Alligator mississippiensis: one gene and its partner. The protein of the gene in region 2 interacts with the protein of the main gene of each other region in a pairwise test. Links are inferred from orthologs where the notes say so. Each region holds a gene or a part of one and is shown on either strand. Other genes may lie near its edges.

Region 1 (7,127 bases), on a different chromosome or scaffold from region 2:
CATCCCGGAAGTGAGGTCCTGCCCCACAATGGCCTCAGCCCTTCCTTCATCTGTGAGCTCCCTGGTACCAGGCTGCTTGACTCTCCCAGCACTGAGCAGCATCCCGGGGTGGCCCCTAGGCACAACCACACCTAATGAGAAGCTAGGAAGGATCCAGGATCCCAGCTGGGACAGACGCATGCTGTCCCCATGCTGCTCACACCTGCTAAATCCAGGGTGTCCAGCACTGGGATCTGATGGGCTAACACCCACCAATCAGCAGCAAGCAGCTTCAAGGAGCCCAGGTCCATCCAGCTTCCTTCGCTCACCCCGGGTCTCCCTGCTGGCTAGGGAACCAATTCCTAGTAGGTCAAAGCTCACTCCGCCAGCCCCCAGCTGCAGCCCAGACCTCCGAAAGGACCCGCTTCTGGGTGCAACGCAGCTGCTGTGAACTGAGCCACCGCTACTACGAACGCACCTGACCAGCCAGGTCTGATGAGCAAAATCAGGAGCCACCAGGCAATGAGAAGTGCAGCCAACTGCACCTCCTCCCCTACCATCCACCCCCTTCCGTTCCACAAGGGGCTGCGGGAGCGCCAAGGCAGCGCCAGCCCAGCAGCTGAGCGGGGGTCAAGGTCATTCCTGGAGCCAGGCTCTCACACACCTGACCTCTGTGGGCGAGGAGAGACGGTGTCCCTTGCTGCCACCCAGAGCAAGTTAAACCTGTGTGGGCTGAGGCAGCAGATCCCCACAGCAAGTGAACTCCTAGCACAATGGAAGGCAGGTGCAGGGCTGGCTAGACTCCCCCACCCCCGACGGCCCTGGCTCTGGGAGGCTGCAGCAGGCCCGTCTAAGCTGTGCTGGCAGAGAAGGGGCATCTCCCGAGAGAGCCCGAGGTGGGTTGCAACAGCCTGCCTGGGTTAACTGCTTTCCTGTTGCCAGCGAGACTTTTCCTCTGTCCCAATCGCCTGCGGCACCAACAGCCACCACCAGAACAGCGCACAGGGCTCCGGCCTGCCTGGGGCTCCCAACATTGCCACCAGCCAGCGAGCAAGCGCCTAAACACCCCAAACCGCAGGTATGGGTGCAGCTACTCGCACGGCCCTTCCAATGCCCAAGCCACTAGCGTCCATGGGCATTCTTGGAGCGAGGGTTACCACGAGATGATCTACTGAGGTCCCTTCTGACCCTAACATGTATGAATCTGAGAGCAGAGAAGCTGGGGCCTCAGCTGGATCCGGGCGATATCCTGCAATGGGACAAGAGAAGTGGGGCTCTTCGCTCTGGGAGATGGGCCCCGGTCCCACCCCCAAGTCCCTGGTGAATCTAGGCAGGTTCCCCAGATATATGCTTGGCTTCCTCCCCTCTTAACAGAGTAGCAGGAAGGCCCCGAGGCCCCACCCCAGCCTCAGCGGGGGCCAGGCTCATCTTCATTAGCTTCCAGGTACTGTCCTAGCAGCAGCCCCCACGGCAGCTGCTGCTCGCACTCAAGCTCCGTGGCGCTCCCCCCTCACCAGCCTCCCCCAGCCCCAGCAGCCCAGCCGCTGCCCACAGGTTGCTTAACGCCACATGAAGGAGTCACCATGGCCAGGTAGCAACTCTCCTGCTTCACCCACACGTCGTTGGGCCTCCGATTCCATTGACTCCAGCCTGGGGGTCCATCCACGCCCTGAGGAACAGCTGCAGGGACCCGCCGCTGGGGCCCCGTTCAGGCAGAGCAAGGGCAAGATCCTCTGCTCCCCAGCATGTCTTGCCTGCTGCCCTGGGGATGCTGCTTCCCAGCACCAGGCTGTTCCTCACCACTGCCACAAGCCCGAACAAGTAGCAATTTGGTCAAATCCAGGCCTATCTCCAGAAGTCGTCAGAGCCGATGTCACGGGAGGAACCAGAGTTGTGCATGGCTTTGTCAGGCTTCGTGACCAGGGATCGGATCTGGCATCGCCAGCTTGAGCAGCAGGCTCCAGACGCCCCACCAGAGCACCCCCCAGAGCCTGCATGAGGCCCCGGACCCAGGCGCCATCCAGTGGGGCCGGCAGCAAGGCCGTGGGAGCAAATCCGTGCACCCACCACCAAGAAGGGAAACGCGAGCTGCGAAGGAAGCCTGGGGGTTGAGCCCATTTCTGCACCCCCTAAAAGAAGAGCGAGGCACAGAAGCACCCAGAGGGGAGGGCACCAGATAGGGCCGGGTCCAACGTTTCCAGAGGGAGATGCTCCGACCCCCGCAGTGTTATCTCCAGGACGCCCGGTGCGGCTCCAGGAGGCCCAGCAGCAGCTACCCACTGCCTGCAGGGGGGTCCCCCGGGAGGGGCTCACCTGAGACCCGGGAACAGAGCCCCCAAATCCTCACTTCACCTGCGAGCGCCGCTGGCCTCTCGCCCACAGCCCTCTGAGCCCCTGATGGAGGGAAGGGGAAAAGGCACTGCCTGCTCCAGCTGGACCAGAAGTGGGGCCCTGCCCAGCCGGGGAATGGAGAGAAGCCACTTCCTGGCACAAACCAGGCATGGGGGGCACAAGTAGGGGTGCAGGGACCCCTGAAGCCTTGACCCCTGGGGGACAACCCCTGATTTGGGGGAGGGGGGCATGGGAAGGGAGGGCAAGGGCATCCAAGCCCTGGAAAGGAGGGGGGGGGCAATGCCTCCTGAGCTGGGGGGAGGAGGGAATGTCCCGTGCGGGGGGGCAGTGCCCTCTGAACTGGGGGGAGAGGGAATGATTCGTGCGGAGAGGGGCACTGCCCCCTGAGCTGGGGGAGCAATGACCCGGGGGGGTGGCACTGCCCCTTGAGCTGGGGGGAATAATGATCCGTAGGTTCACGTGCCCCCACCTCAGCCCCGCCCCCTCTTACCCCCGGGCCCAGGCCCCTTAGCCCCCCCCCCCAGGCCCCGGCCCAGACCCCACCCCCAGAAAACCCCCTCCCCCCCGCCCCAATACCGGAGGCGGCAGCGGCGCAGACTCCCCCGTCGCGGCCCCAGCGCCGAGCACACAAACAGCTGCTCAACCAAACCCTCCTCCGCCGGGCGGGGATAAGGGGCGGCGCAGCCAATAAGCGCCGGGCACCTGAAGGCTGGCACCGCCTCCTCCAGGCCTGCCGACCAATGGCGCTCTGCGTCAGACCACCACGGTCCGGCGCACTAATGAGCGGTGAGAACTGGCGGGACGGGCAGCGGGATCGGACCAATGGCGAACGGGGAGAGGGTGAGAGCGGTTGGCCAATAGAAAGGGTAGGCGTCGTGAAGGGGTGGATCTTAGGTTAAGTGACGGAAGAGGAGGCCAATGGGAGCGGCTGTGACTTCGGGGGCTTCATCAACAACAAATAAGGTGACCTAAATGGGCGGCACTCAATAGGACACTGACCAATCAGTTCTCGGGATGCCTTCGCCGCTGCCCAATCACAAGGCAAAAGGGCACCGCTTCGACCACTCAAAGAGCGAGTAGGAGTTGATTGACAGGGGACCCAAACTCCCCCCCTTGTTGGGCGGGCCCAAGGCCGCCCAGGCCTCTTTTAGCGCCAATCAGAGACGGGCTGGAGCATGATGGACAGGCGTGTGAGGGAGGGCCATGAGCGGGTGCCCCCGCGAGAATTTTAACCTTTAACCTCAATTGTATTACTGCTAATTAGCTCAGCTGAGGCTGAAGCTGACTCCAGCCCTGGGGGCGGGGCCAAGTGGGGGCATAGGGAGTTGGCCTGGACCACAGGGGCGTGGCCCACAGGGAAAGGGCGGGGCTAAATTTTGGGCGGGACTTGTGGACGGGGCGTGGTCTGTTGCCAAGAGGCGGGGCTCGTGGGTAGGGGCGTGACCTATACAAGGGGAACTGCAATTTGGGCGGGGCTTACGGGGTGGGGCGGGGCCTATGTCCAGAGTGCCGGTGGACAGGGGCGGGGCACGTGGGTAAGGGACCGGGCTTAAAGGCCAGGAGTAGGAAGCAGGCCCGAGCCCTGGAGGCCCCAGCACAGCCAGGTCTGGGGTGCGGCAGTCCCAGGCCAGGGTCCTGGGCCCAGCCCCAAAGACGCACCCCTGGCCCAGGAGCTTGGGGTGCTGCCAGGGCCCAGGGGCTCGGTCTGGCAGCCACGCTCCTGCCTGGCTGAGTCAGCCCCAGAAGCCGTATATGGAGCCTGCGCAGCCTCCAGTCCCCTATACAAGCAGGTGTCTGCTGCCCTGGGGCCTTGGGCCGCTTTCTCCGGCCTGGAGGGGGGCAAGGAGCTGCAGTGGGGGCGTATCCTTGTGAGGAACACAGGACTTCTCCCATGTCCTCGGCTCTGGGCTCACTGCAGCCTTGTAGGGGCAAGGGGGACGGGTCTCACTCCTGTCTCCCACTCCAAACCCCAGCTCTTGACCCCAGTTCTGACTTCAGACCCCCCCTCCCTACACCCAGTGCCCTGGGGGGATGGATGTGGGTTGGCCCTGTGCTCTAGGTGACCAGCCACCCGCATTCCCGAGAGCTGAAGACCCAAGGGCATTTGAAGCCCAGGTCTGATCACTTCCACGGGAACTGCTGCTAGGCCTCGGTGACCTCCCTGGAGTGGCTCCCGGAAAGCCCGCAGCACGGTGGAGCCCCAAGGCCCTGGCTAACACTGCAGCCAGGGCAAGGAGCAGCACCTGGGCTTCAGCCTCTGCAAATAAACCCTTGGTTGCGGGCAGGGCTAAAACGCAGAAAATCTTTTAATGATCCGTGAACTCGGTACAGAAGACGCGACGCTTGGTATGAAAACTCGGCAAGACAGAGTCAGAGGCAAAACTACTCGACAGGGCTCATCTGCCTTAAAAAAAGAGCTTCGTTTACAAAAAAGGCCAAGGTGCTTTTTCTAATCAACTCTGTACAAACTGCTTTAAAACCCGCCCCCCCACCACGCTGTGCACATGCTGCCCCGCGAGGCGCCTTGTGCTCCCAGCTGCCGCCAGCAGTCCCATCCCAGCTGCTGCCGATCCCTCCAGTAGCTCTGAGGACCAGGGGGCCGGAGCTTTGTGTTGGGAATCAGCCCTCCTGCTGGCGCCAGGTGCGCACTGATGCTGGTCCTTAGCTCTGGCAGGTTCCCATTGGATCTGGAGCTCAGTCCGGGCCCTGCCTTTCTTGCTCAGCAAGGGGTCAGAGAAAGGGCTCTGTTCCCTGGAGAGAGGGAAGCACCAAGAGGCCAGCTCCAGGGGAAGGATCACGTGCCCAGCAAGGGAGATGTGGCTTCTGGCCCACGCTTGAGCAGCTAGCAAGGAGAAACAGTTACTCCAGCTGGGGCTGCTCCCCACCTCTTCCCTTATTTGCTATAGCAGGGCACGGACAAGCCCCCTGGATGTGGTGCTCACAGCAGCCCCTGCCCCTCGCTCCAATCTGAGTTCATGAGGCCAGCAGCCTCTGGGCACAGAAGCTGTGAGCTTCACGTGTATGGGGGGGCACCCCACCCCCTGCCTTTGCCATGGAGGCAGCCAGACCCAGCACTGAGGCCACCCCCCTGGGTCCAGTGCAGATATACAGGGAGGGACCGATCCTGCCAGAGGAAGGCGGAGGCTGGGCAGGAGCCCTAGGGGCCCAGCTGCTGGTGCTGGCAGCGGGATCCGTTCCTTGCTGGGTCCATGGCAGTTCCTGCCTGTCACTGCGGAGCAATTGCTGCGGCTGGGGGGAACCCAGTGAAAGGCCCTTGGGACGAGGGGGGCAGATCCTGGGAAAGGCGACAGGAGAGGAGCCCTGCTGCCAGCATCAGAGCCTGATCCACGCCGAGGGCAAGGACCTGCACCCAGGGTGGGAGCTGGTCAGGCCCCGGCCCCTCTGGGCCCCACAGTCAGTTCAGAGCTGGGCAGCAAGGGGCAGGGAGAAAGGCTCCGGTGAGGCTGGGCATTGGCTCCCTGCCCCGGGGCGGCCTCACAGGCGCAGGTGTGGCACGGCTTTGGTGACATCCCGGAAGAAGGGGTGGCCCAGCGCTGACTTGGCCGAGATGCGCTTGTTGGGGTCGTAGTGCAGCATTTGCTGGGGAAGAGAGGGGGGAGGCGGGTTAGGCCAGGCAACCGAGGGAGCCCAGCTGGGTTGCACTCTCCTTCTCCACCACCCCAAAATGCTAAGAGCCAGAGCTGGCACGTGAGCTCCCCCAGCCCCGGTTTCTCCTGCTGTTCCTCCTGCCTGTTTGCTCCCAGCACAGAGGGGACTAGAAAGTTAGTTTCCTTCTGGGCAAGCCAGGCACCAGCTCTGACCCTGCTCTCCCAGAGCCTCGAACCTTGGGCCCAGTAGCGGACTACTCACAGCCAAGAGCTTCCTGCCCTCCTCGTCCAGCGGGGGCACCACCTTGCTGAAGTCCTGCCGGGCCCACTTGGGGAAGCTGGGCTTGTAGTCAGGCATGGAGGTGACTCCAGGCCACACAGCCTCATCCGGGGTGCCCAGCGTGCGGAAGATGCGGAACAGTTGGTCGATCTCGGAGTCACCAGGGAACAGGGCTCGGCGGGTGATCTGGGAGGGGCAGAAGAAAACCATGGGGGGCACCTGGGGGCCAGGTAGGAGGTCTAGGTGCTTGACGAGCCACTTAGACTCAATGCCTTCCCTGGAGGAAATCTGCTGAGCACCGGACACTGGGCTCTGCGCAGGGGTTAGGGTGGCAGGCTCGCGGGGGGCTGAACTGGGACTGGCCGGGTGGGGGGGGCCTGGCTGCCGAGGATAACACCAGGTCCCAGAAAGGCTGTGCCCAGATGGAGCCGAATCCCATGGGAAGCATCTCCCCCCCTCGCAATGTGACATGGACCCCATTCCATGTGACCCTCTCTGCCAGCACCCGGTCCCAGGACACCCCCTGCCCTGGGGAGGAGGAAATACCAGGCTGGCACGCTGCGGCCTGCACCCCACCCCAGTCCACAAGGTCCCTTTCTTCCCTGGGCCCTGCTGGGCGTCAGCAGCCCTTTGCGTGGCCGGTTGTGACGTCTCTGCTGGCCCAGCACAGCCCCGGGGCCTAGCTCTGCAGCTCCAGCTGGGGGGGAGGGAAGGGGGGCATGGGGGCCGCGCCAGGGACTTGGCTCCGAGCCAGCTTGCACTGGGAGCTGCCCTGCCCTGCTCATATTAAGGCTCATCTTCCCTCCCGCCATTCTTGCCTGCCACGGAGTGGGACCCCCGCACCCCCCACAACGGCCACGCACCATCTCAGCAAAGATGCAGCCCAAGCTCCAGATGTCCACAGCCGT
Region 2 (7,249 bases):
ATATTTCCTTTTTTGAAGTGTGTCACCTACTTTACAGTGAGAGAAAATGAAACCAGGCTTAAAGTCTTCAGTTCCCATGCTAAAAATCAGATCCATGAAGTCAATGGACTTCCATACGAGTACAAGGGTCTACCTCTGTAGATCCAATTGCTGGACTGTGACCTACTAGACTTAACTTCTTCCCACTGACCCCACCTTTTAAATGTCATGGGATGCCATGAACAGCTGATGAACATGCCACCTTCTAGGTCAATCTCCAAGTTCAGAGATGACACATACCCCATCTTTATTAAGTGTATTACTGTAGAGCCTAAGAGCCCCTAGTCGTGGTGCTATTATCCTAGCCACTGTGCAGACAGAAGATGAAAAGGATGTCCCTAAAAAGAGTATCCAAGCATCAGGCAAGAGACAATAGCTAGGTACAAAAAACAGTAAGACATTCTGGATAGACATACATGGGGGTGGAGGGTAAGGAATGGAGTGGTCTAGGAAGTCAAGAAAGACACTGCAGCAGTGAGATGAGGCTGGACAAGAAATTGCTCTGGGTAGACAAGAGAGAAGCTGTTTCTTGGTCCTGTTAAGAAACAATCAACTCAATGTAGACAGTCTGTATGTACTAAAGAGCCTAGAAAGTGTTCCAAGTTGCAGATGACACGGAGGTGCTAACTTCAAAAACTAAAGTGAGGTCCTGCTCAGTTGCAGCTGCCTTTAAGATTGTTATGGCAAATGAGGACTTTCAAAATAAAAAAAGGTGTCCCTTTGGTGCATAATTTCAGTATTCAAATTATAACATTAACAGTGGCTACTGTCAGGCTTAGGCAGAAGGGAATTAACCAAATTCAAATAACAACCAGAAAAGTAACCAAAAAACTGATTTAAAATACACATGAGGAAATGTGTGCCAGCAACTGAAAGTGTATTTGATTTCCTTCATTATCGACCAGCTGTGCTAATGACACACACTAAAGGCCCATGTGGGTTCTTTTTTCTAAGAAGACTTTAATGAGTTGTCTCTGGGGACTCTGGTTTTAAAGTTTAAATTGTATGAAGACAAAGTAAAGAGTGATGGATGCTTTTGAATGCCAATGACTATCAGGAGTCTTCCTCGTATTTTGTCATGTGTAGACCTCCTACCAGCAGCTATTCCCAGGATAAGTCGTACATAGACTGTTTATACAATTTTTATTATTATTAAGGAACACAAGATTATCAAAAAAGTAAAGTTTTCAGAAGTCTAGTCAGTCCCTTGTGGCCAGATTTTTAAAGGCATTTAGACAGCTCCCTCTCAAGCCATACCTTTAAAAATAAATCTGGCCCTTGTCTTTCTGTTCATTCTTTTATTTCCCTCAACTCAGCCACTAACAGTTCTGCTTCCATAGCAATTCATTTTCCACAGTGCTACAATACTCAGTTTCAAAAACCACATGGAGACTTATACTTGTCTCTTATTTATTCATTTCTAAAACATTTTTAAAACAACTGTCTACACAGAAAAAATGTAAGGTGTTTATATTGGTCTTGTCTTTGATCATAGATCTCGTATATTAAATTTAGATTGTGGACAAAATATCAATTAGCAGTATCACTTAAAGTTTTCCCTGTATTAAATAAATTGTTCCAAACACAGGTAATCTCCCAAGATCAAATGCACCTAATTAATATGAACAATACTTAACTGGATCAGCACTCCAGTTTTGTTGCTGCCTAATTTGGTTTCCAACAAATTTCAGAAAGGAAACTCTTCCTTGTAAACAATAACTTCCAAAAGGGCATGATTTGGCTGTCTATTTAGGAACGATGACAAAAACACTGTTGAAGCTTAAGGTTGCCCTAAGCCAGGACTTCTCAACCTTCTTTAGACTTGTGGCACCCCTATCTAGAAGGTCTCTCAGGTCTATGCAGATGTGAGGCAGCCCTCAGAGAAAACCAGCTCTTAATTTTCACTCTTTTTTTTTTTTTGACCTACAGAAAAATAATAGAGTGGTTTTTTTCTTCTGCGAAGAGCTCAGAAGGACCATGACTATGGATTTCCATTTGAAATCTTGGGGTTTATCTTACAAATCATTTGTAAACCTACCAGTTGTAAACTTAAAGGAGCTAATACTATGTGGCACTCCTGAAAGGATCTGAAGGCAACCCGGAGTGCTGTGGCAGGCTCTCTGGGTGAGAATTGCCACCCTCAGCTGCAATGGGCTCCAAAACACAGACGTGCACCCCGCCTCCCTGCGCACAACCGTCTGCCGGGGCTGTACTCGAGATAGTCGAAGGGCACCAAGCCACTCAGGGTTGTTAGACCCCCTGCTTCAAAGCCTGTCTCCCCTCAGCAGAAACCTTCTTTTGAGGAGACACGAAACCTTCTGGAAACCTGAAGCCCCCCCAAGTGCTTTTCAGCACGTCCATGCCACGGGAGCTGGACACGCCTGACAGGGCCGGGGAGCTGCGGGGAGCTGTCGGAGACCAGTGACTCGACTCTTTCTCCCCCAGCCGGACTCAGCAGACGAAGACCCCCCCCCGGCTCCCCCAGGCCAAGGCAACCCCAACTCAGGAAGCCACCTTGGCAGGGCCGCTCCCAAGGAAGCCGAACCCGGGCGAGGGGAAGAGGCGCCGGCCACGCACCGCGCCGGCTTTGCAGGAGGAGGGGCGGCCCCAGCCGGGAGAGCTCAGCGAGGCGGCCGCAGCGGAGCCCCCTGCCCCCGGGGCGGCCGCGGGGCTGGCGCTGGCGCTGGGGCAGACGCAGGAGGGCCCCAGCTCAGGCGGAGCTGGACGCCGGCCGAGCCCCGCCCCCGCGCCGGGCCCGCAGCACCCCCATGCCGGGCGGGCAGGCGGGCTCGCAGCCGAGGCGGGCGGGGAAGGGGCCTGAGTCCGCCGGCGCCTCCAGGGAGGGGAGGGGCCGGGCCGGGCCGGGCCGGGCCGGGCCTCGCGCGCCTCTTACCCGCTGCAGGATCCGCCTGAACATGGTGCCGGTGCTGGATCCCGCCGGGCAGGGGACGGGACGCCGCGCCGCGCCGCGCCACGCCGCCCACGGGGCAGCAGCGCCCGGCCCGGCCCGGCCCGGCCCAGCTCCGCCCGCGCCCTGACAGCGGCGCCGCCCGGCAGGCGGAGCCCGGGCACAGCGGGCGGGGCCTGGCGGCGGGGCGTGGCGTGGCGCTGCCCCCGCTCGGCTCCGAGTCCCGCGCGCAGCGCGCCCGGGCCGTCCTGGCCAGCCCTCTCTTGGCCCTGCCTCACTGCCGGATAGTAACCGGGAGGAGGCTCCGGCCGTGGGCCCTGGGGCGGGCGGGCGGGCGGGGCGTTTCCCGGCCCCTTCCCGCTCGCAGGTCTGGGCGGTTTCACTGGGCGCTGCCTCAGCGCACTGCCTGCACAGCTGTGCCCAGCGCTCCGGCTGTTACGTTTCTTATTTGCCCCACAAGTCAGCGATACGCCTTTAGTGGCCCCATCACCGATGCGGCCTTACAGCTTTTACGTGGTGGGCCGAGGCCCACGCTTGCCCAGTGACACATCAAAAGGCCTGGTCAACCTCCTCCTGGCCCTTGCCAAGCTTGCCCTGACCACAGTGAGATCGGCCACGCGCCCCCTGGAAGCGCCAGCCGTGAAACTGGACACGCACCTCCAGTTTTGCTGCTGGCTCAGCGATCGGCCACTGGGGGTCGTCATCCGGCCCCTCACCCTTTGGCAATCTGGCGCCCCCCAGACTCGGGAGGCATCAGTCCCCTGTGCCTGACCAGGAAGGGCATCAGGCCGCAGGACCCCCTGGGATTGCAGGGTCATTTTCCTGCCTTTGGTGTGCTTATGTCTCTGGGGACTGTGTCACTGGGCAGTGCCCCCTGGCTCCTTGGGCTAATTGGAGGGCAGTGGGCACTGGCACTAGCGCCTTCCCACCTTGACAGGGGTGACTGGTGCCTCCAGAGCGTGGGACAGACAATTTGTGGGCGAGCCAAAAGCCCCGTATATCCACTCCTATACTTCTGTGCCACAGCTTAATCCCCCCCAGCACCAAGACATGGCTGGCCCGCACGGCAAAAAAATTGCCCCATCCTAAGCGGTGCTGAGTTGGTGGCCAATCTGGGGGGGCACGTGCCCCACCTACCAGTCGCTTGTGCACCTTGATGTGCTCATTTTGAACCTCTGACTTTCACGCCCATCCCTGTTTTATTCAGTTGTCCCCAGTAATCACTCAATGGGCCCCCAAATTAAGGGAGGCATTCAGCTTTACATGGTGGACATTGGCCCACGTTTCCACTGCAATGCAACTAGCCCCATGTCACACCCTGGCAGAGAGTGGAGGCTGAAAGGGAGAGTGAGCAGGGCAACCAGGGCTCCCCACTCTCCCACCCTGTCCAGTTCGCCTCCAGCATTGAAGGCCTAGGACTACATTAAGATTTCTAGTGATTCTCAACCAGGTTGCTGTGAGATATTTTTATGGGTGCAAACTCCTACATGGGAGCCTCAAAATAAACCCAGAGATTTCAAGCAAGAGTCTGTTGTGTCACAAACTTCCTGATCTGTTGTGGTCTTTCAGAGTTCTTTCCAACCAAAGAAACTGCTCGATCATTTTTCCATAGTTAGGAGATAAGAGAAAGCTAAGAGCTGGCATTTTCTGAGGGGAGGAGGAGGGGCCTCAGGTTTAAGAAGGCTGAGAACCACTGCCTTAGCTATTTTGCCACCCCACCCTTTAATCAACAGACTAATAGCTCCTAATGAAAGAGACTGCAGTAACCTTATTTCATAGTATTAGAATCTGGCTAACTAGTATTAATAATAATATAGTTGTCAAAGCAGGTTTTTTCTTTTCCCATGTTCATTATTTTAAAACGTTGCTGAATTTCAAACTCTTGATTCATTATTTCCTTTACTTTGAATTAATATGTTTATATTTATTCCAGATTTTTGTCAGCATGCACCCCCCCCTCCGCTCTTTGCTTACCCAGTGGTGTCTCATCTCTAAAGCAGCAAATGAAAAAGGAAAGAAATGTAATTTAATTGTTTCCTTACTTTCCGCTCAATACTTTAGAAGGAATTTACGGAGATAAGCTATGCAAGAAAAATAAGCAGTAATTTGGTGGCACACTTCTTAGTTTTAAAATAAAATCCTTCAGAATCTCTTATTGCAGATGGCTAATTGGTCTGTATTTGAAACACTGAAATTTGCAATGAAAGCTGAGTTGTAGTCCTTTAACTATAGCTTTTGCTACTGATGAAAGTTATTATGCCTTGTTCTGTACACAAAGGTGCTGTTTTACTAGTCAGGCGCTCTGCAACTGATAAAAATTCCTGGGTAATAATATCACAGACGGGAGCATGAGGGAAGCTTAGAATATTCTTTATGTAGTTCTTGTCTTGTTTGCTTCTCCTGGGGCTTAGTCCCGCTTATGGCTAAAAACACTTACCTCCCATTGACTTCAAAGGAACATTGAGCCTTTTCGGAACTTCTTCAGTGGTAAAAAGCCTGGGTTCAAATTCTCAGGGCAACATGGGGGTTTTCCTAAAGCACTGCTCTCAAATAAAGTGTTGTGAAGCAGCAGGTTAAAAAAATCTCACCCAAACTAAACCTTGATCAGAGAAAGGAAAGCAAATCAAATTTGAATGTATCTTTAATTCCAACACTTTCTCCCTGTGTGCTCTTTCTCCCTGTGTTGCAATCTGTCTGCTCAATCCTGCAATCAGCTTATCAAACTTAATTTTCTACTAGCAACATTATTTGCCAAATGGTGTTCTCTGCGTACATTGCCTTGACAGATCCAGGGTGACTGGAGTCACATGCCTCTCTTGGCAAACCACCAAACCTTCACTAGCAGTTGTAAACCATTTGAGAGTACTTGCTCTGCCCACCTTTGAAAACTATAAAAACGAGGCAGAAGAGTTTTGTTCTTATTCCATCTCTCACGCCATCTCCTTCTTGATGAATAGATTCTTTAGAATTTTCTTAATCCAATCCTAATTTTAATATCCTATATGCCAACCCTTACAGCCCCCAGTCTTTATAAAGACAAACGTTCATTGACTATACGGGGGAAATGCATGATCTGGCTTAACATTACATGGACAATTTTATTTTACTTGTTCTGCTTTCTTCCATCTCATTACCAATATTTCTGACTTACAGTAATGTCATCTTCTTGTAATGCACTTTGTCTTTTACCCTGGATGCAGATATCTCTGTACACTGAGGCAGAAGGGGCAAAATAACTGCCTGGAATGACCTGAAATAATCCCTCTCCCTTGTGTCTGATTGGCTTATCTGTCAATTTATTTTCAAGATTAGCCAATAGGCAGTTCTTTAGCCTGGAATAAGGGCCACAGCTGCAAAAGAATGCGCTTATAAACTACATTTTTCCATTATATGGATGAGACAAGATGGTCTGTAAAAGAGAATTTGAAGTAACTCCTCACTGAATGCTCTAAATAAGGAACAAAGTTGCTCTGAAAGATATTGATGTTAATGTGTTAAAGACCATTTTAAGCATAAAACATGATAAAGCTGCATGAGCAGTTGCACATTCATATAAAAATATTTTTATCTCAATAATTTATCTAGAACTTTAACCAAAAATGAAATTTTGCGTGAGCAATTGCTCCATTAACTGAGCACTCAGCTGCAAATATGTTGCAAAATATCACCAGATCTTGAAAGCATTCAAAAAAGATCTTTTCAGCCCCATTTCACTTTGATCTTTGCTCTTTAACATACATAAAACCACATACACACACACTTTTTCTACAGATGTTAAGGCTGAAAGAGATAATTAATCTGACCCATACAATACAATAGAGGCTATAGTTTTTTCCCATTTCATTCCAAAAATGATGGCTTCTATAGCCAAAAAATAAACAGTAACAGAAAAACCCTGTATTTATTGATGCTAAGACAAAAAATGAATAGAATGTTGTTGGCAGGGTGTCAGCTAAATAGCAATGCAAGGCAGGATAAGTTATTCAATTAAAAAAATGCTTTTTCTGTAGTAAAACAGTCATTTTAGATTGAAAACAAGAAAAAGGGATGCAAGTGATCAAATTCTATAATAAAACTGTATTTTACTAGTAATTAAGTTAAGCATAACAAAGACTAGAGTGCCAGCTGTCATAGTTAAGACCCTCTTATATTTAAAGGCCAAAGGTTATAAAATTCACATGTTCACTCAGATTGTCTTGATATTTGGTGTGTCTTGTGGCTACTATACCAAATTTGGGCAAGGGGAGATAGACTATCACCTGCCTGGAAAAAAAAAAGCATTCCTTAAGTATGTCAAGATAT

What was found. The genes of interacting proteins can lie anywhere in the genome.
Region 1: the proteins of EEA1 (region 2) and RAB5B interact in binary tests that used the Homo sapiens proteins (3 or more experiments, as listed by UniProt). The link is inferred for Alligator mississippiensis from reciprocal best matches to the Homo sapiens genes EEA1 and RAB5B.

The regions. Positions count from the first base shown.
Region 1 is NC_081838.1:6,932,681-6,939,807, reverse strand, and holds the start of RAB5B (ras-related protein Rab-5B), read right to left. Parts: upstream 3,012-7,127; 5' UTR 2,908-3,011; intron 2,744-2,907; exon of another isoform or gene 2,293-2,743; intron 1,463-2,292; exon of another isoform or gene 1-1,462. Other genes in the region: CDK2 (cyclin-dependent kinase 2), read right to left, coding at 5,827-5,931, 6,202-6,405, 7,083-7,127. UniProt on the Homo sapiens protein: The small GTPases Rab are key regulators of intracellular membrane trafficking, from the formation of transport vesicles to their fusion with membranes.
Region 2 is NC_081827.1:87,635,711-87,642,959, forward strand, and holds the start of EEA1 (early endosome antigen 1), read right to left. Parts: upstream 3,051-7,249; 5' UTR 2,957-3,050; coding exon 2,933-2,956; intron 1-2,932. UniProt on the Homo sapiens protein: Binds phospholipid vesicles containing phosphatidylinositol 3-phosphate and participates in endosomal trafficking.